Linked DNA regions of Anolis sagrei. The protein of the gene in region 1 binds, or shares a complex with, the protein of each later gene. Links are inferred from orthologs where the notes say so. Each region holds a gene or a part of one and is shown on either strand. Other genes may lie near its edges.

Region 1 (10,484 bases):
AGTTTTGAATAAAATATTGAATAAACAAATGGGGGTGGGGGGGGGGGGGACTGGGGAAACTACAGATAGTTTTCCCACCAGAGCTCTTGTTCTATGCATAACCTTCTAACGCTGCAGTTAATTTCAATGCAAAATCTTTCCTAGTGTTAAAGAACCTATCACTGATCAGAGGAAAAAGCAGAAAAATTACAAAGGAAAGGGTGAAAACTTTATTAATTTTACCCTCAAGGAGCTTTCCTTCTAACTGGGTGGTAGCTTTTGTTTATGGAAATTTCATGTTTAAAAAGACAACTGTTCTTTTCACAGATAGTTATTTGACAGGATTATTTATATGTCATTAAAACTATTTATGTACTATTGATTGGACTAAAAATAGATTATAAATACACCTACGGTTTACATTATTTTGTATTCCCTGCACCATGGTTTGTAGCTACGTAGACTTTGGTTCTTTTATGAGAATAAAAACTGGAATACCAAGTTATAAAAGACAAGTACCAGTGTATTTTATTAGTATTCCCTAATGCAAAACCTAATGGTGACTTAATCACAGACATGTACATTAGAAACAAACTATACCAAGAAGAAAATGCAAGGTTTAGATGTAAAAACTCTTGATATAGTTTTTTTTAACACCTCCAAATATACAATTTCAGAGGAGTCCAAAAAACAAAATCAAATATTGACTGATCAAACAAACCACCAGTTTTACAAATTTAACTTCATTTTCAATTAGTTTCTCTCTGCTTGTGTGATCTAAGTGTGCATGTGTACACACACACATCCTATGATAGACCTATCTTGGTCATATTGTTTCCTCAACAATCAAAAAATAAAATCTAAAATCTTTTCAGTCAATGGAAAAATCAAAAAGAACCAATCACCCTGAAAATGCACAGAATTTTGATTTTTCTCTTGCTGTTACAAAGTTTCTGTCAGAAACAGATCCATGGGAAAAAATATGGGAGGTCACTGCTCTATTTCCCCTGACCCAATAAAGAGTTTGGAAAAGGAGGTGTCCTCGCTTATTAAATTACTTTAAACTGCAGCTGCAACACACATACATTGAAGTAGGTCCCATAGAACATAATGAACCGTACATTTGAATAGACTTGCATAAAATTGTGCTATTATCTGAACAGCCCCATTTTATCTTACAGTGGTAGAAATTTTGATTTTTGGAACTGGCTAATATTTATCATATTGAATTAGCACAACTAATTGAATTAGCACAAGAATATGATTTTCTTGCTTCTTGGCAGGGGGATGGACTAGATGGCCCACAGGGTCTCTTCCAACTGAATGAGTCTATGATTCTATTTTTTATTCAATACATATTTAAGCTTTTCCTAAATGCTAGTGTCTCTATGTATATATCATTAGTGGATTTTAGGAAGTACACAACATCCACAGGCTGATAAAATTTAATTGTTTTGAAGATTTTAAAAAGGTATCTTAGTTTTGCAATATTCTTCCGTAAAAATTACAACTCTAGAACAATAAAAATGGCAGATTCCTTATTTCTACCTCCATGATATTCTATGAACATTCCTCCCTATGATTTGTAATAGGTCCAGGGGACCCATGTGCTGTCCTTCGGACTTTCTGGGGATTGCACAGGCCACCCAAATATACTCTTCTCCCAAAACCAGAACTTTACTTCTACTTGACAAAAAATGTATTTTTAAACAGTGTGGAGGACTGGCAGGCAGGAAAAACAGAGTCATGTGCAGCCCCAATACTGCACTTTACCCAATCTCTGTCCTAAAGCTTAAAAAAATTAATAATGGGATGTCCAAGCTACAATTCTAAGGGAAAGAAACTTAAGCCCCGAACTATCTAGAAACAAGATACCCAAAGACCCAAACATAATCCTCATATTTATATAAGCAACCTTCAGTTGCTCAGGTGTTCAGAAATTTTAAACTAGTGTCCTATAGACCCACTTACCTGAACTCAGGCCGCATTTACACTGCCATATAAAATTCAGATTATCTGCTTTGAACTGGATTAGTCTATACTGCCATGTAATCCAGTTCAAAGCAGATCATCTGATTTTATATGGCAGTGTAGATGGGGCCTCAGTGAGAGACTTGTTTCTGACTTGTCACTATAGGGCCACATCGGTTTAACTCAGTCACTACAAATTGTTTATAATAAAATATCTCCCCATTTTGTAGGACTGATTGAGAAAGAGGAAGTAGTGATATCTGTGTGTGAGAGATTTTAGGTTTGAGAGCCCTGGCTCAAATGAAGGCCTCATCTAAACTGACCATTTAATGCAGTTTAAAGCTAGCTTCAAACCGCAGCAGCCAGGCAACAAAATTCCCACAAAAGCTGCAGAAATAAAGCATTAATGTGCACCAATGCTCTGCACACCCTCCAGGCCTGAAACTGGTTCCAGGATTTCCTACTGAATGATCCGCTTTGAAACAGCATTACACGCTCAGTCAAGATGAGGCTGAAATCTGGAATGGGTGCCCTCAGAAAGGCGCTCCCACTATTGCAAAACCTTAATTTTCTGGTGATATTAGGACCCACATCAGAGGCAGGGCCCTTGAGAGCCGGGCCTTGGGCAAGATGACAAACAGGGCCTGCTTCCTTCCTTCCAAATTGGGTTTAGTAATGGATGGTTGGCCTTCTTTTCACCCACCGGGCCAGTCTTCTCTTCAGTGGGGCCTTAGCCACCCCTTTCCCCTTATTCTCCCTGCCTTGAGTTTCCTATTTGGAGCAGAAATACCCACACACAGGAGAGTGCGAAGGAGGAGGAGGAAGAGGAGAAGGAGGAGGGACGGAGAGGCTTACCTTCCCTCTTGCAAACCGCCTCCAAAGGCAGACAACTTCCCAAAGTTATTTTTATATATATATATACTAGCCAACCCCTGCCACGCGTTGCTGTGGCCCAGTCTGTGTATATGTGTTTTGTGTGTGTATATGTGTGTTTAGGTCTGTGTATATATTTGTGTATTTATATGTGTATACGTGTTTATATATTTGTGTGCTTGGTGTATGTGTATTTGTGTATATATATGTCTGTATGTGTGCATGTGTATATGTATATTTCTGTGTTTATATGTGTATATGTATATTGTGTATATGTGTGTGCTTGGGTGTATGTGTATATTTGTGTATATATATGTCTGTATGTATGTGTGCATGTGTATATGTATATTTCTGTGTTTATATGTGTATATGTATATTGTGTATATGTGTGTGCTTGTGTAAATGCATATATATGTATGTGTATATGTATGTGTATAGGTGTATATGTGTATAGTTGTGGGTGCTTGTGTGTATATATATATGTCTGTCTGTATGTGTGCATGTGTATATGTATATTTCTGTGTTTATATGTGTACATATATATTGTGTATATGTGTGTGCTTGAGTGTATGTGTATATTTCTGTATATATATATGTCTGTATGTATGTATGTGTGCATGTGTATATGTATATTGTGTATATGTGTATAGTTGTGTATATGTATGTATGGTTTATTGGGGGGGGGGGGTTAAAGTCCGTTCGGCTGGGTTTTTTTGTGTGTTTTTAGGGGTGATGGACACTCATTGGCGTGATTGGTGTCTTGTGGCCAAATTTGGTGTCAATTCGCCCAGTGGTTTATGAGTTATGTTAATCCCACAAACGAACATTGCATTTTTATTTATATAGATTTCATTTATTTATTTATTTTGCCTTACACCCATCACCTTCCCTTAATAGAGATCTGTGTGGGAAGGAGGGGGGACAGGCTGTTCCACGACCACGCTCCCCCCCCCCTCAAAAAAACAAATAAACCCGTCCACTAACTCCTCTCCTTTCCTGGCCTGGCCCTATTCCTTCCCCCCGGCCACCCCATTGCCTCTCCTCCCGCTCAAAGTTGCCAGGAGTCCAGGAAGGGGCTTCTTCCTCGACTTGGCCTGGACTCGAAGCGAGACTTGCTTCTTCCCTTGGCATCTCTGAGGGGAGGAGGAGGAGAGTGGCGACGGTTGGAAGGAAGGGGGTGCCTTCTCCCCCAAACCCCTTCCTCGTCCTTACCAGGGGAGCATGCCTCTGCAACGTCACGCCCCCAGCCCCCCTTTCCCCTCTGCCATCCTTGCCGCTTCCTTGGCCCCCTCATGGCACCCCCTCCGCGGGCTCAGCCAGACCCACCTACCTGCCGAGAGAGAGGGAGAGAAGGGGACACCCTCTCCAGGCACAGCCTCTCCCTACTTGCCCTCAGAGTCGCGCCCGCTTGGCAACCTGCTCCCAAGACCCCCTCAAACACCTACCTGCACAGCTCAACCAGCCTTGAAGTGGGGTGGAGGGGGTGGGAAGTCTTCCGCCCTCCTCCGCTCCCCATTGGCTGACACCAAGGCCTAAGCCGTCGCGGTTGGCAGAAGGCGTGTCCGTCAACGGCGAAAGGGCGGGGCTTGACGAACTGGGGAGTAAGGGGGAGGGGGTGATGCTGATACCTCAAGGCTTCTTTTGCCTGGTGGTTCTTGGGCATGAGAGGAAATCGAGAGGGGCTGGGGGGGGGGGGGGGGGGAATACCTTCCTCGGTTATTCAAGCCCCCCCCCCCCCAATGTTTCCCCTCAGGCCCCCCACTCTGTGCTTCAGCCAGTCCCAGGAGTAGCCTAAAAGGCAACAGTCAAAGAGCAAAGCATTCCAATAGGCTCAGCCTTAAAGCAACTCCTCTGTCAGATGGAGAAGGAGTGGATTGGGGGAAGGAGGGGAGGGGGGTGCCATTTGGAGAGGAAAAGCGGAGGCTTTACCCTTACAGACCGACCAAAATTCTCCTCAGGCCCTGAAGAGGAAGAGACTTCCATAATTCAAACACACACACCAACGGACCAGGAAGCGTTTCCCACTCCCAAATTTCTCCTCAGGCCCTGAAGAGGAGACTTCCATAATTCACACACACACCAATGACCAGGAGGGGTGTCCCCTCCCAAATTTCTCTTCAGGCCCTGAAGAGGAGACTTCCATAATTCTATACACACACTCACAGTCACACTCTCCAATGGACCAGGAAGCATTTTCCCCTCCCAAATTTCTCCTCAGGCCCTGAAGAGGAGACTTCCACAATTCACACACAGACCAATTACCAGGAAGGGTTGTCCCCTCCCAAATTTCTCCTCAGGCCCTGAAGAGGAGATTTCCATAATTCTACACACACACACACACACACCAATGGTCCAGGAAGCATTTCCCCCTCCCAAATTTCTCCTCAGGCCCTGAAGAGAGACTTCTATAATTCTACACACACACACACCAATGGACCAGGAAGTGTTTCCCCCTCACATATTTCTCCTCAGGCCCCAAAGAGGAGACTTCCATAATTCTTCACACACACAGACACACACACACACACACACACACACACCAATGGACCAGGAAGCGTTTCCCCCTCACATATTTCTCCTCAGGCCCCAAAGAGACTTCCATAATTCTCTTTCTCTCTCTCTCACACACACACACACACCAATGGACAAGGAAGCGTTTCCCCCTCACAAATTTCTGCTCAGGCCCTTAAGAGGAGACTTCCATAATTCTACACAGACACACACATCAATGGACCAGGAAGCATTTCCCCCTCTCAAATTTCTCCTCAGGTCCTGAAGAGGAGACTTCCACAATTCACACACACACCAATGACCAGGAAGGGTTGTCCCCTCCCAAATTTCTCCTCAAGCCCTGAAGAGAGACTTCTATAATTCTACACACACACACCAATTAACCAGGAAGCGTTTCCCCCTCACATATTTCTCCTCAGGCCCCAAAGAGACTTCCATAATTCTCTCTCTCTCTCTCTCACACACACACACACACTCACACACCCCAATGGACGAGGAAGCGTTCCCCCCTCACAAATTTCTGCTCAGGCCCTGAAGAGGAGACTTCCATAATTCTACACACACACACTGCAATGGACCAGGAAGCGTTTCCCCCTCACAAATTTCTCCTTAGGCCCTGAAAAGGAGACTTCCATAATTCACACACAAACACACACACACACCAATGGACCAGGAAGCATTTCCACCACATACATTTCTCCTCAGGCCCTGAAGAGAGACTACTATAATTCTACACACACACACACACACACACCAATGGACCAGGAAGCGTTTCCCCCTCACAAATTTCTCCTCAGGCCCTGAAGAGGAGACTTCCATAATTCTATACAAACACACACTCTCACACACCTCAATGGACCAGGAAGGGTTTGCCCCTCCCAAATTACTCCTCAGGCCCTGAAAAGGAGACTTCCATAATTCACACACAAACACACACACACACCCATGGACCAGAAAGCATTTCCCCCACATACATTTCTCCTCAGGCCCTGCAGAGGAGACTTCCATAATTCTACACACACACACACACACACACACAGCTCAATGGACCAGGAAGAGTTTCCCCCTCCCAAATTTCTCCTCAGTCCCTGAAGAGGAGACTGCCATAATTCACACACACACACCCCAATGACCAGGAAGCGTTGCCCCCTCCCAAAATTCTCCTCAGGCCACGAGGGGGAGATTTATAATTTTCTTTCCCCCCCCCCTCCCGCCCATATAGAACAAGGAAGGGTCGTCCCTCAGGCCCTGAGGAGAGGACTTATCATTCTCTTTTTCCCCCATAGGTTACAAGAAAGTGTTGCCCTTTCACGAATTTCTCCTCAGTCCTTGAGGAGGGGACTTATAATTCTCTTTCCTCCCCATAGGTTACAAGAAAGTGTTGCCCTTTCACGAATTTCTCCTCAGTCCTTGAGGGGAAGACTTCTAATTCTCTTTTCCCCTCATATAGAACAAGGAAGAGTTGTACCTTCACAAATTTCTCCTCAGGGCCCGAGGAGGGGACTTATAATTCTCTTTTCCCCCCATCGGTTACAAGAAAGTGTCGCCCTTTCACGAATTTCTCCTCAGGCCCTGAGGGGAAGACTTCTAATTCTCTTTTTCCCTCATATAGAACAAGGAAGGGTCGTCCCTTTACGAATTTCTCCTCAAGCCCTGAGGAGAGGGGTCTTATGATTATCTTTTTTCCCCATATGGAACAAGGAAGTGTCACCCCTTCATAAATTTCTCCTCAGGCCCTGAGGAGGGGACTTATAATTAATTACCACCACCACCCCACCCATATAGAACAAGGAAGGGTCGCCACTCTCACAAATTTCTCCTCAAGGCCTGAGGAGGAGACATATAATTCCTTTTCCCCATAGGTAACAAGGAAGGGTTATCCCTTCACAAATTTCTCCTCAGGACGTGAGGGGGAGACTTATAATTCTCCCCCCACCCACCCTCAGAACAGGAAAGGGTTGCCCCTTCACAAATTTCTCCTCAGGCCAGGAAGAGGAGACTTCCATACTCCCCTTTCCCCCTCATTTTGAGAAAGGCCTCCCCAGAAACAAAACCCCACAAAGGTTGCCCCTGCCATCCTTTTTTGGGCTCAAAGTAAGGGAAAAGGGAAATAGGTGTGACATGCCAAGTTAAAGCCCAGGCATCTTGAAGTGGATGTTGGGGAGGGGGAGTCCAGGCACAAAGTGACTGTGGGTTACTGCTTTACTCTGGCTATCAGCCTAGTTTTTGTGATAACAACAACACAGGATACAGCATAATTAAAATACATAGATAAATCAAATGACCATAAAATACGTGTATTAAAAACATAGAATATGTATATCTTGGATAATAAGTACAGTCAAATAATGCAACAAATGACAATTGGAAAAGAAGACACAAGGCTGCTTGGATGGCTTTTAATTAAAACTGGACAGTGCAAATGGATGAATCAATCAATTAAACTTTATTTATATCCTGCCCTACCTTCCCAAGGAAACTCAGGGCGGCTTACAACAAAATAAGAGTGGCAAACATTCAATGCCAACAATAATATATAAACAAATAAAAAAAACAACTCAATAAATCATAAGACAACTTAAACCAAATGTGACACAGTACACATAATTACAAACATATTAAATCCTTAAAATCTCATTAAAACAGGTTTTTTTTGTCATGTCAGGAGCAACTTGAGAAATTGCAAATCACTTCTGGTGTGAGAGAATTGGCTGTCTGCAAGGATGTTGCCCAGGGGACGCCCGGATGATAAGCTGTCAATTAAAGTCACAGCAGATATCTTCAACACTACAGTTTTACCGGCAATTATATACACTTCTGAAATATGGGCAACAACAAGGTTAGAGGAGGAAAAACTGGTGGTGACTCAGAGAGCAATGGAAAGAAGGATAAGATAAAGTCAGCAATAAAGAGCTGTGTCAAAGAACTGGGGTACGTGACGTGGTCAATTAAATCTATGAAGCAAAAATAAGATTGACAGGGCATATAGTACTAACAAACGATAGCCAATGGATATGTCAACTGATGAACTGGATCACAATAGACTACAAGCAGTGCCTCTTGGGCAGATCTCATATTTGATGGGACAAACCAATGGTTAAGATATTCAGCCAGAAATGGAAAAGAAAAAGACAGGATCGTATATTTTGGAAATGGTAAATTTGCATTAAGCCCAAAGGAGTGAATTGACAACAAATTGGATAGGATAGGGAAAACATAGAACAAATACCAAAACACCAATATTAATAAAACATAAATTTTAAAATTATAATTTTAACTTGATGATTAATATATTTTTTATTTTCAGTTTACATCTTAATTTTAAAAACAGTGAAACAAATCTATACATGTGTATATGCAGGAATCAATACAATACTTCCTAACATTTATAACAGTATTCATATTTGGTTATACCCTTCCCTCCTCCCACCCCTCCCAATTTAGTGGCTTCCCATCCTTGGGTTGGAAACATTGAGGTATAATTTTGTTATTCCTTCCTATTACATTGTTTTTCTATTATTCTTTTATTAATTCCCTACACTGATTCTTACAGGTTAAATTATGAAGCAGTCTAAAAAATTTCCTTCTTTCTTTTTTAAAGTTTAAAAATTGAAATTGAAACAGAACTGATAAATAATTGTATGATTAAATGGGTAACAAAATATCAAGCAGAACATAAAACTAGATAAATTAGAAAATTTGGACTATTGGCTTAAAAAAAAATCAGTGCTATGACCTTAGCTAATTTTTTAAATAAAGTTATGAACAGGTGGTACCTGACCCCAGCAAAACTAGCTAAAATGTATAAGAGAAGATCAACAAATGCTATAAATATTTAAAAAACAAAACAGGAAGGAAATTTCTTCCACATGCGGTGGACCTGTAAAAAAGCAAGAGAATTCTGGATTAAGTACAAAAAACACTGCAAGAAATTTTTCAATCGAAGATACAATTGGAGCCCACATTATTGTAATTGGGAATATCAAATAATCAAAAAAAGCATTAAACTAAAATGTTTAATTTACAAAGTTTACATAATCATAGCAGCAAGAACAAAGTTTACATGATCATATGCACAGTTCTGGAAGAAGGCAGACCTCCCAACAATAGAAGAGTGAATGGTTAAAGTCTGTAAAATAACATAAATTAACAAAGAAAAACAAATATCAAGGAGTGGGAAAAATTATATGATTTTAACTTTAATCCAGCAAGAGTTCTCTTTCCCCTTGTTTACAATTTGAAATGTTTATTTGCAACTTTTATTTTTAAAAAGTTTCAGATTTCAATACTGAGTAAGGTACTATAGGATCACACCAATTTAACTTGTCCACTCTAATAATGTATAATAAGCAAAATGTTTGGAACCAAAATTGTTTGGGATATTTTATCGGGTTTTGGGATATCTATCATTACATAAGTGCAATGTCCCATCTCTTAGAGATGGGATATTGCACTTATGTATATAATAGGATCTCATAGAGATGGGACCCAAGTCTAAACAGGAAATTAATTTATGTGTCATATACCTCATCTTTGTTTAAAGATAATTGTATATGTAATATTTTAACAATTTTCAGTATGAAACAAAGTGCGCAAACATTTAACCACAAGAAAATCAACCACCCATGCGAACAATTTCGGACTTTGGAGTATTTTAGATTTCCGGATAAGGGATGTACAACCTGTACACCTAAAAAATTAATAGGTTGTTGTTGCTAGGTTGTAATGTTTTTTGTTTTCAAACCAGACGTAGTTTAAATAACAATTGTTTGGTGATTTACAAGTCAAGCAGGAAATTCAAAGAGCTTGAATTTCTCTATAAATGTACTCAATATTTTTTTTTAATACAGGGTGTTCAGCATTCTCTTGATGAGGGAAAAATCAGCCAACTATTTAGTAATTTAACAGAAAGAGATTGAAATATTTTGTTGTTTAATGTAGATACAATGTGCTACTTGGCACTCAAAGGTGGGAAATAAGATGAGACATGAAGCTCTTAGTGCACCAGGCAAGCCATTCTACAAGTTTTATGTTTTTCACATTGCTGTACGTAAAGTTATGGCCAGCACTTGTCATCATTACTTTTTTTAGGATTGGTGATATAGAGTGAGACATTCTTGTACTTGTAGTCCAAAAAGAACTCTCTACAC
Region 2 (10,456 bases), on another chromosome or scaffold:
GAAATAGAATTTTGACATTTGGGAGTTGTAGTTGCTGGGATTTATAGTTCACCTACAATCACAGAGAATTCTGAATCCCACCAATGATAGAAATGGGCCAAACTTCCCACACAGAACCCCCATGTGGGCCACAGCAATGCGTGGCAGGGGACGGCTAGTGTAAATATCTGATATGCAGGATGTATTTTCATTCACTGGACCAAGTTTGGCACAAATATTAAATCCTCCCAAATTTGAATACTAGTGGGGTTGGAGAGGGATGGATTTTGTCATTTGGGAGTTGTAGTTGCTGGCATTTATAGTTAATCTGTGATCAAAGAACAATCTGAATTCCACCAACAATGGAATTGAACCAAACTTGGCACACAGAACTCCTATGGCCAACAAAAAAACTGGAAGGGTTTGGTGAGCATTGACCTTGAGTTTTGGAGTTGTAGTTCACCTACATCCAGAGAGCACTGTAGGCACAAACAATGATGGATCTGGACCAAACTTGGCACAAATAGCCGATATGTCCAAATTTGAATACTGGAGAAAATAATGGAGCCCCCGGTGGCGCAGTGAGTTAAACCCCTGTGCCGGCAGGACTGAAGACCGACAGGTCGCAGGTTCGAATCCAGGGAGAGGCAGATGAGCTCCCTCTATCAGCTCTAGCTCCCAATTGCGGGGACATGAGAGAATCCTACCACAAGGATGATAAAAAAAAAACCCATCAAATCATCCGGGCATCCCCTGGGCAATGTCCTTGCAGACGGCCAATTCTCTCACACCAGAAGTGACTTGCAGATTCTCAAGTTGCTCCTGACACGACCAAAAAAAGGGGGGGGGAATAGACCTTGGCATTTGGGAGTTGTAGTTGCTGGGATCTATAGTTCACCTACAATCAAAGAGCATTCTGAACTCCTCCAAGGATAGAATTGGGCCAAACTTCCCATACAGAACCTCCATGACCAACAGAAAATACTGTGTTTTCTGATGGTGTTTGGCGATTCCTCTGACACCCCCTTGTGACTCCCCAGGGGGCTTTAGACTAAACTAAGCAGATATAGAACGGAATAAGGAAGTGAGGATCAATCATATTTGTGATTTCTCTGTGGAATTTAAAATTGGACAGTAAAGGGGGGGGGGGAATCAAATAATTTGAAATGTAGAGCTAGAAGAGACCACAGACCACTAAAAAAGACAAACATATGGGTCCGAGAACAAACCAAGCCTGGATTCTCGGTATTTTGGTCATAGAATGAGACAATGCTACTTCTTAGGAAAGACAATAACACTTGGAAAAGTGGAAGCAAGAAAAAAAAAGAGAAAATACAATACAGATGGACTGATTCAATCTAAGCAGCAACAGTTTCCCAGAATTTGTAAGATTGGGATTGGGGATCCTGTAGGTTTCTAAGTCAAGAGATCTTCCTAAGTCAACATGCACAGACAGCGAGACAGACGAGTGACACTTACATGGTGCCGCTGTCTTGGTGCCTCTTAGGTGTCACAAAGAGCAGGCGGGTAGGGCGGGCATTGCTGGCATCTGGGTGGGCACTCCAGGGCTTGGCATAGCTGTGATCCAGGAAGACCAGGTCCAGCTCTCTCTCGTGGACCGACAGCTGGAAAAGCAGGGAGGTCCCCATTCTCCGTGCAGAGGTCTGGAAATCGCGTTCGTTGCCTCGGTATGACATGTCTCCACGTCTTTGGCTGCTAACGCCGTTGGGGCAAAGGACTCCTCTTGCCCCTCATCCTGGTCCCTGGCAGGAAAGGAAGAGAGAAGCACCAAGAAATTGGCTTCTTCACACATCTGTTTATTTCTGAGGGGCTGCTGATACAGATTGGAGCCTGGGTCTGTAAATTTAGGATCTGCTATGAGTTTGGGCCTGCAGAAGCACCTCCCAAGATTTCCAGGAGTTCATATTGTGCATTCCTATGCATATAAAAGGTAAAGGTTTTCCCCTGACATTATGTCCAGTCATGTCCAACTCTGGGGTGTGGTGCTCATCTCCATTTCTAAGCCAAAGAGCCAGCATTGTCCGTAGACACCTCAAAGGCCATGTGGCTGGCATGACTGCATGGAGCGCCGTTTTATATATATATAACTATGTATATTTACTATGTATATAGTAAATCCTATACTATGGGACTACCTGGGTCCATAAGGTGACTCAATCCAAATGTTTGAGAAGTGGACAGCAGTATCCTTGGGTTGCTGTGAGTTTTTCAGGCTGTATGACCAGCTTCCGGAAGCATTTTCTCCTGAAGTTCCGCCCACATCAATGGCAGGCATCCTCAGAGGTTGTGAGGTATATTGGAAACTAAGCAATATATGTGGAAGGCCCATGGTGGGAGAAAGAACTCTTGTCTGTTGGAGGCCAGTGTGAATGCTGCAATTACTCACCTGGCTGATTCCTGCCTGGGGAAATCCTTTGTTGGGAGGGGTAAACTGGCCCTGATTATTCCATATTTTCTGAGTGTTGCTCTTTATTTACTGTTCTGATTTTAGAGGGTTTTTTTTAGTACAGTAGAGTCTTGCTTATCCAACACAAATGGGCTAGCAGAATGTTGGATAAGCAAAAATGTTGGATAATAAGGGCAGATTAATGAAAAGCCTATTAAATGTCAAATTACCTTATGATTTTACAAATTAAGCACCAAAACATAATGTTTGACGACAAATCAACAAAAAAAGCAGTTCAACACAGTAACGTTATGTATTAATTACTGTATTTACAAATATAGTACCAAAACATCGCAATGTATGCGGAAACAGAAGAATGGCCTGTCTCAGGGGAGCGTGCTTGCTCCATCCACGTTCAACATCTACACAAATGACCAGCCACTGCCAGACGGGACAGAGAGTTTCATCTATGCAGATGATCGTGCCATTACTGCTCAAGCAGGAGCTTTGAGATGGTTGAACAGAAGCTCTCCGAAGCTCTAGGTGCTCTTACTGCCTATTACAGGAAAAACCAGCTGATCCCTAATCCATCTAAAACACAGACATGTGCCTTTCATCTCAAGAACAGAGAAGCATCCCGAGCTCTGAGGATTACCTGGGAAGGAATCCCACTGGAGCATTGCAGCGCACCCAAATACCTGGGAGTCACTCTGGATCGTGCTCTTACCTACAAGAAGCACTGCCTGAACATCAAGCAAAAAGTGGGTGCCAGAAACAATATCATATGAAAGCTGACTGGCACAACCTGGGGATCACAACCAGATACAGTGAAGACATCTGCCCTTGCGCTGTGCTACTCTGCTGCTGAGTATGCATGCCCAGTGTGGAACACATCTCACCACACTAAAACAGTGGATGTGGCTCTTAATGAGACATGCCGCATTATCACGGGGTGCCTGCGCCCTACACCACTGGAGAAATTACACTGCTTAGCCGGTATTGCACCACCTGGCATCCGCCGGGAAGTAGCAGCCAATAGTGAAATGCTATTCTCTCCTGACGTTTTGCCTGCATCTATGGCAAGCATCCTCAGAGGTTGTGAGGTCTGTTGGAGCAAAGAAAATTGGGTTTTTATATATATGTGGAATGTCCAGGGTGGGACAAAGAACTCTTGTCTGTTGGAGGTAGGTGTGAATGTTTCAACTGACCACCTTGATTAGGATTTGATGGACTGGCAGTGCCTGGGACAATCTTTTGTTGAGGGGTGATTAGATGTCCCTGATTGTTTCCTCTTTGTTGTTTTGCTGTTGCAATTTTAGAGTTTTTTAAATACTGGTAGCCAGATTTTGTTCAATTTCATGGTTTCCTCCTTTCTGTTGAAGACCCTCTGAAGGTGCCATTTGCCACAGATGCAGGCGAAACGTCAGGAGAGCATGATATTGGAACAGGGCCGCTGTTGAGTATGTGCAGAGTTGCCCAAAGGCCTTTACTCACCTTTAAGAGCGGCCTCGATCCCGACGGGGCTTGAACGGAGAGACGTTGAGGGAAGAGGAAAACAAGCAGGCGAGACTCTCACTTTAGCCCCGGCCGCCAGCCAGGCAGGCCTCAGCCTCTTCTGCGCATGCGCGCTTCTTTTTTTTCCCCCTTCGACGCTGATTGGACGCCGAGCCTCCCCTGTCCCGACGCGGTGACGTCACCCCAGCACGTCGGCGCAAAAAAACGGAAGCGGATGTTTAACCGACTTTGGTAGGAAGGGACTCGAGGGAAGCGCCTCGTTGGAAGCAGAGGCCTGAGGAAAGGAAATGGGAAAGAAGAACAAGCTACCGGATAGGTAAGAACGTGAGACCGGATTACACAGAGCCTTCCTGGCCCAACCTGAAAGAAGGGAGAGCCTAGGCCAGGCATGGGCCAACTTGGGCCCTCCAGGTGTTTTGGACTTCAACTCCCACAATTCCTAACAGCCGTTAGGCTGTTAGGAATTGTGGGAGTTGAAGTCCAAAACACCTGGAGGGCCCAAGTTGGCTCATGCCTGGCATCGAAGGTAAAACTGAAAAGAAAAATGGGTTCCTCTAAAACTGTGGAGACCAAAATCCACTGATTGTGGTAATGTGAAAGTATTTAAATTAATGTATTGTCGAAGGCTTTCATGGCTGGAATCACTAGGTTCTTGTGGTTTTTTTCGGGCTATAGAGCCATGTTCTAGAGGCATTTCTCCTGACGTTTCGCCTGCATCTATGGCAAGCATCCTCAGAGGTAGTGAGGTCTGTTGGAATTAGGACAATGGGTTTATATATCTGGGCTCTCCAGGCCAATGGAGACTCCACCTCAGACATCAGAAGAGCTGCAAGACCAAGAACAAGCCACAAGAGTAAAGATGAAGATCCACCCAGAGGAAAAGTGTTCCTGCCATACATCAAGGGAACCACTGATTGCATAGGGAAGCTGATGAGGAAACACAACATACAAACAATCTACAAACCCACCAAGAAAATCCAACAAATGCTACGTTCAGCAAAGGACAAGAGGGATCCTCTCACCTCTGCAGGAGTCTACCGTATACCATGCAGCTGTGGACAAGTTTACATAGGGACCACCAAACGCAGCATTGCCCAAACACGAATCAAGGAACTTGAAAGGCACTGCAGACTACTTCAACCAGCAGAGCACCTGATGAACCAGCCTGGACACAGCATATTATTTGAGAACACAGAAATGCTGGGCCACACCAACAACCACCATGTCAGACTACACAGAGAAGCCATTGAAATCCACAAGCATGTGGGCAATTTCAACAGAAAGGAAGAGACCATGAAAATGGACAAAATCTGGCTACCAGTATTAAAAAATTCTAAAATTACAACAGCAAAACAACAGAGAGGAAAAAACCAGGCACAGATTAACACCTCCCAGCAAGAGATTTTCCCAGGCTCAGGCAGGCCTTCAAATGCTAATGAAGGTGATCAGTTGAAACAGTCACACCTAGCTCCAGCAGGGAAGAGCTCTTTGCCCCACCCCAGCCATTCCACAGATATATAAACCCATTGTCCTAATTCCAACAGACCTCACTACCTCTGAGGATGCTTGCCATAGATGCAGGCGAAACGTCAGGAGAAATGCCTCTAGAACATGGCCCTATAGCCTGAAAAACCTTCAAGAACCTAATAATAATAATAATAATAATAATGTAATAAAACTTTATTTATACCCCGCCACCATCCCCCCAAGAGACTCGGAGCGACTTACATGAGGCCAAACCCAACAACACATCACAACAGAAAAGCAATAACAACAATACAAAGCAATTCAATATAATATCTATATAAATAAAAATGTAATCTTCGTTTGTGGGATAAACAGAACTCAAAAGCCACTGGACGAATTGACACCAAATTTGGACACAAGACATCTAACAACCCAATGTATGTCCTTCACTCAAAAAAATTGATTTATCATTTTATTATTTATTTACTTTACTTATAGACCGCTGTTCTCAGCCCGGGGTCGACTCACAGCGGTGTACAACAAACAAGAACAGCAAGATTCAAAACTACAGAATAAAAACAATTCACAACCTAACACTATACACAGTTAACACCATTACTATGATAACCATTCAGCGTCGTGTCATCATCCAAAACATAATCCAAATTTGTCTTCCGTTGTTCCATTCCTATATTCATTACCAATCACTGCACTAATTATTCGAACACCTGCTTGAACAGTCAGGTCTTCAATTTCTTGCGGAATATCATTAGAGATGGTGCTAGTCTAATGTCCGTGGGAAGGGTGTTCCACAGCCGAGGGACCACCATTTATCATTTGGGAGTTGTAGTTGCTGGGATTTATAGTTCACCTACAATCAAAGAACATTCTGAACCCCACCAACGATGGAATTGAACCAAACTTGGCACACAGATCTCCATATATGAACCCACACATTCCCTTCGATCATCTGGAGAGGCCCTGCTCATGATCCCACCTGCGTTGCAAGCGAGTTTGGTGAGGACGAGGGACAGGGCCTTCTCTGTGGTAGCCCCCCGACTCTGGAACACTCTCCCCAAGGACATCAGACAAGCCCCAACATTGGCAATTTTTAGGAAGAGCCTGAAGACCTGGCTGTTCCAGTGTGCCTTTCCAGATTAGGAAACTCCTGGCATCATGTCCCAAATGCACTTTGTTAGAGACTAGGATTGTCTGCACATTGAACCTACCTCCAACAAACCTCTACATACCTCCTGTCAAGTTCAGCACTTTTAAATTTTGTCCATTACATTTGGCCCGGCCTTTTAGATTTTAAATGCATCATGTGTCGTTGTTTTTAGTGTTTTATTGTCTTAGCTTGATGTTTTATTATTTGCTTATGAGTTTTATGTTATATTTGTATGTTGTTGTTGCGGCCTTGGCCTTTGTAAGCCGCATCGAGTCCTTCGGGAGATTTTGCGGGGTATAAATAAAGTTAATAATAATAATAATAATAATGACCAACAGAAAACACTAGAAGGGTTTGGTGGGCAGTGTCCTTTGGTTTTGGAGTTGTAGTCCACCTACATCCAGAGATCACTGTGGACTCAAACTGTCGAGACACAGACGCCTTAAAGGGGCCACACAAAGTATTAGTTCCAAAGTACAGTTTAATGCAACAAAAACACAGAAGCTCAGAGACGCTTAACTTCAGTGCCTCTGGCTAAAACTCAAAAAATTAGCCAACCTTGGTTTAAAAAGCAAACAGAAACATAATTCGGATTAACCAGAGAAAAGAACTGGATTAAATGCAGTACTTAGTGGCAAACAAACAACACCGCACTCAAACAGTTAACAGCAAAGATAAACCGCCGAAAGAGTAACCAAAGCCAGACAAAGTCCAAGAGTCGTCATAGGTGAAATCCAAAGAAGTGTCGTTTCCAAGTCCGTCAAGCAGTGTCATCGTCAAACCAATCTGAGATCCAGGAAGGGAGAAAACCACACTCACGAGAAGTCAGTCCAAGTCGAACACACACAGGAACTCCAGGCTGCAGAACTCGGACCCAAAGCCCAACACAAAAACAGGCAGCGACAAAATCCACACAATACACAAATGTAACCGACACTTTGACTTCTGCAAAGATTCCCCAATTCAGAGCCTACTTTTATCTTACACATTCTCAAAGGCTAGTTTAAACATCCAAGACTTCAAATCCCTATAAAAGGAAGACAGTGTGGGTACCTGCTTGTGTCTTTCAGACTCTTCATCATACATTAGATTGCTTTTGTACCCAATAATCTGAAATGACTTCAGTGTGGTGAGTTAATTAAGCTGTGCCCCATAAATGAACCCAATAGTACACATAGGAAGACAGCAGCTAGATAATGCATGTACAATTAATATACCAAATTGCAAGTGCCAGAGCAAGCTTTAACTAATGTAACATTTCTGAAGTTTGGCCAAGTAATCTATACTGCTCCAGACATCAGAGTTCGATTCTGTGCTCAGGTGCTCATTCCTGCACTTTCAAGAATGTGCAAAAAATAAAGGCATAGAAAGGAATGCAGAGCAGCAATAAATGTTAATCCTAAAAACATTTAAAGTCAACGTGGACCCAATCTCCACATAAGTATAAGCCGAAGTGGGAAATGCAGCAACTACTGGTAAATTCTGGTAACATCCCTAATAGATTACTGCAACACGCTCTACGTGGGGCTGCCTTTGAAGACGGTTCTGAAACTTCAGTTAGTTCAACGGGCAGCAGTCAGATTACTAACTGGGCCACATACAGGGAGCATCCCCCCCCCCCCCCCGGTTATGCCAGCTCCACTGGCTGCCAGTCCATCTCCGAGCCCAATTCAAAGTGCTGGTTTTGACCTATAAAGCTCTATACGGCCCGAATGCATCTGCCCCTACGTCCCATCTTGCAATTTAAGATCATCCGGGGAGACCCTGCTCTTGTTCCCGTCAACAGCGCAAATGCGGCTGGCAGGCACGAGGAGCATGGCCTTCTCGGCTGTAGCCCCCCGCCTATGGAACACACTCCCAAAGGAGGTAAAATCTGCTCCCTCTCTCCTGACCTTTAGAAAAAAATTAAAATCATGGTTCTGGGACCAGGCTTTCGGACAATACATGTATGCAGCTTTTAGTGGGACAAGGACTGGAACGGTGACTCGACTGATGGGATTGTTTTATGGTTTTAATAACTGTTTTGATATTTGATGATGTACTGTTTTTAATATGATTTATGTTTAAAGTGTGGTTTTACTGTTGTAGTTGTAAGGCATTGAATTTTTGCCATTATCTATGTGTAAACGGCTTTGAGTCCCTCTCAGGGTGAGAAAAGCGGTATATAAATGCTGTAAATAATAATAAAAAAATAACAATGCTGAATATGTCTGATGGGATTTGTAGTTGAATGAAAATACTTTCCTCCAAATGAGCCTGTCTGCTTCTTGCAGTCTTTCTCTTGGTCCATCTGATTGCTCCTGTCCTTTCCTATCTGTTTTTGTACAGTAGTAGAAAATTGCAATGTTTCTTTTTCTAGATGGACGAATTATTTACCTCTTGGAAGAAGACTACCCAAGACGCGCTTCATTGCCTTTAAAGTTCCTCTTCACGAGGTAAGTTGCAACGTAGGTAGAAGTTTAATTTCCATTCTGGTTCTTGTAATGAAATAGTGATGAGTGGGTAAAACTATGGGCTGACAATGTAACTTGTATAGTTGCCTTGAAGGTATACAATAATAACCTCTCTGCGAACAAAGCATGGGATAAAGTCAAGGAATACCTGACTATGCAAATATGGACTCTGCTTCTGATGGGTCAAAAGACGTCCCAGAGATTGATGGCGGCTCAGAAGATATGGCTGAATTGTCTGACTTTTTTTTCCAGAGGTTTGGATTTAAGCTCGCCCCACAAGAGCGCTTTACTCCAGAAGACCTCATCAATCAAATCAGGGAGCAGAAGGAAGATCTGGGTTTGATCATTGATTTGACGTACACCACCCGCTATTACCAGCCAAAGGTCAGTTCTATTTATGAGCTGTACCTTCAGCTTTAGGATAGACGAAGGGTTCTCAACTTTCCTTAATACAGTGACCCCCAACATAACATTATTTTTGATGCTACTTCATCACTGTCATTTTGCTACTGTTAGGAATTGTAATGTAAATATCTGATATACAGAATGTATTTTCATTCACTGGACCAAATTTGGTACAAATACCCAATACGCCTCATTTTGAATACTGGTGGGGTCGAGGAGATTGATTTTGTCATTTGGGAGTTGTAGTTGCTGGGATTTATAGTTCACCAACAATCAGAGAAAATTCTGAACCCCACCAATGATGGAATTGAACCAAACTTGGCACACAGTTCTCCCATGACCAACAGAAAATACTGGAAGGGTTTGGTGGGCATTGACCTTGAGTTTTGGATTTGTAGTTCTCCTACATCCAGAGAGCACTGTGGACTCAAACAATGATGGATCTAGACCAAGCTTGGCAGGAATACTCAGTATGACCAAATGTGAACACTGATGGAGTTTGGGGAAAATAGACTTGACATTTGGGAGTTATAGTTGCTGGGATTTATAGTTCATCCACAATCAAAGATCCCTTTGAATCCCACCAATGATTGAATTGGGCCAAACCTCCCACTCAGAACATCCATGACCAACAGAAAATACTGTGTTTTCTGATGATCTTTGGTGACCCCTTTGACACCCCCTCGCAATCCTTCCAGGGGTCCTGACCCCCAGTTTGAGAAACACTGGAATAGATGTGTTTCAGAGAGCCCCTTTGCAATTGCTTCCACTGCTGCAAGTAACTTCAAATCTTTTCTCTGCCTTGAAATGTAAATATTGTTCCAGGTAGCTGGCCTGTTCTGAGGTATATTACAGCCACTCTTCTTTCCTTAATTCTTGCAGGAGCTGCCAGACACACTGCAGTATTGTAAGATTTTGACCGTTGGCCACGAAGTACCTAGTAATGAAACAATTTATCAGTTCAAGAGTGTTGTAAAGAAGTTTCTGGCAGAAAACCAGCACAACGGTGAGCATGACATTGGTTTTTCGGCATTGTGTTGGTGATTATTGACAATTAGCAAA

What was found.
Region 2: KANSL1 (region 1) and KANSL3 share a complex: the UniProt entries of both Homo sapiens proteins name them as parts of the NSL complex. The link is inferred for Anolis sagrei from reciprocal best matches to the Homo sapiens genes KANSL1 and KANSL3.

Annotation. Positions count from the first base shown.
Region 1 is NC_090026.1:44,094,686-44,105,169, reverse strand, and holds the start of KANSL1 (KAT8 regulatory NSL complex subunit 1), read right to left. Parts: upstream 4,352-10,484; 5' UTR 4,269-4,351; intron 1-4,268. UniProt on the Homo sapiens protein: Non-catalytic component of the NSL histone acetyltransferase complex, a multiprotein complex that mediates histone H4 acetylation at 'Lys-5'- and 'Lys-8' (H4K5ac and H4K8ac) at transcription start sites and promotes transcription initiation.
Region 2 is NC_090027.1:22,753,539-22,763,994, reverse strand, and holds the start of KANSL3 (KAT8 regulatory NSL complex subunit 3), read right to left. Parts: upstream 4,022-10,456; 5' UTR 3,881-4,021; intron 1,743-3,880; 5' UTR 1,677-1,742; coding exon 1,459-1,676; intron 1-1,458. Other genes in the region: DUSP11 (RNA/RNP complex-1-interacting phosphatase), read left to right, coding at 4,189-4,217, 8,896-8,971, 9,242-9,373, 10,277-10,400. UniProt on the Homo sapiens protein: Non-catalytic component of the NSL histone acetyltransferase complex, a multiprotein complex that mediates histone H4 acetylation at 'Lys-5'- and 'Lys-8' (H4K5ac and H4K8ac) at transcription start sites and promotes transcription initiation.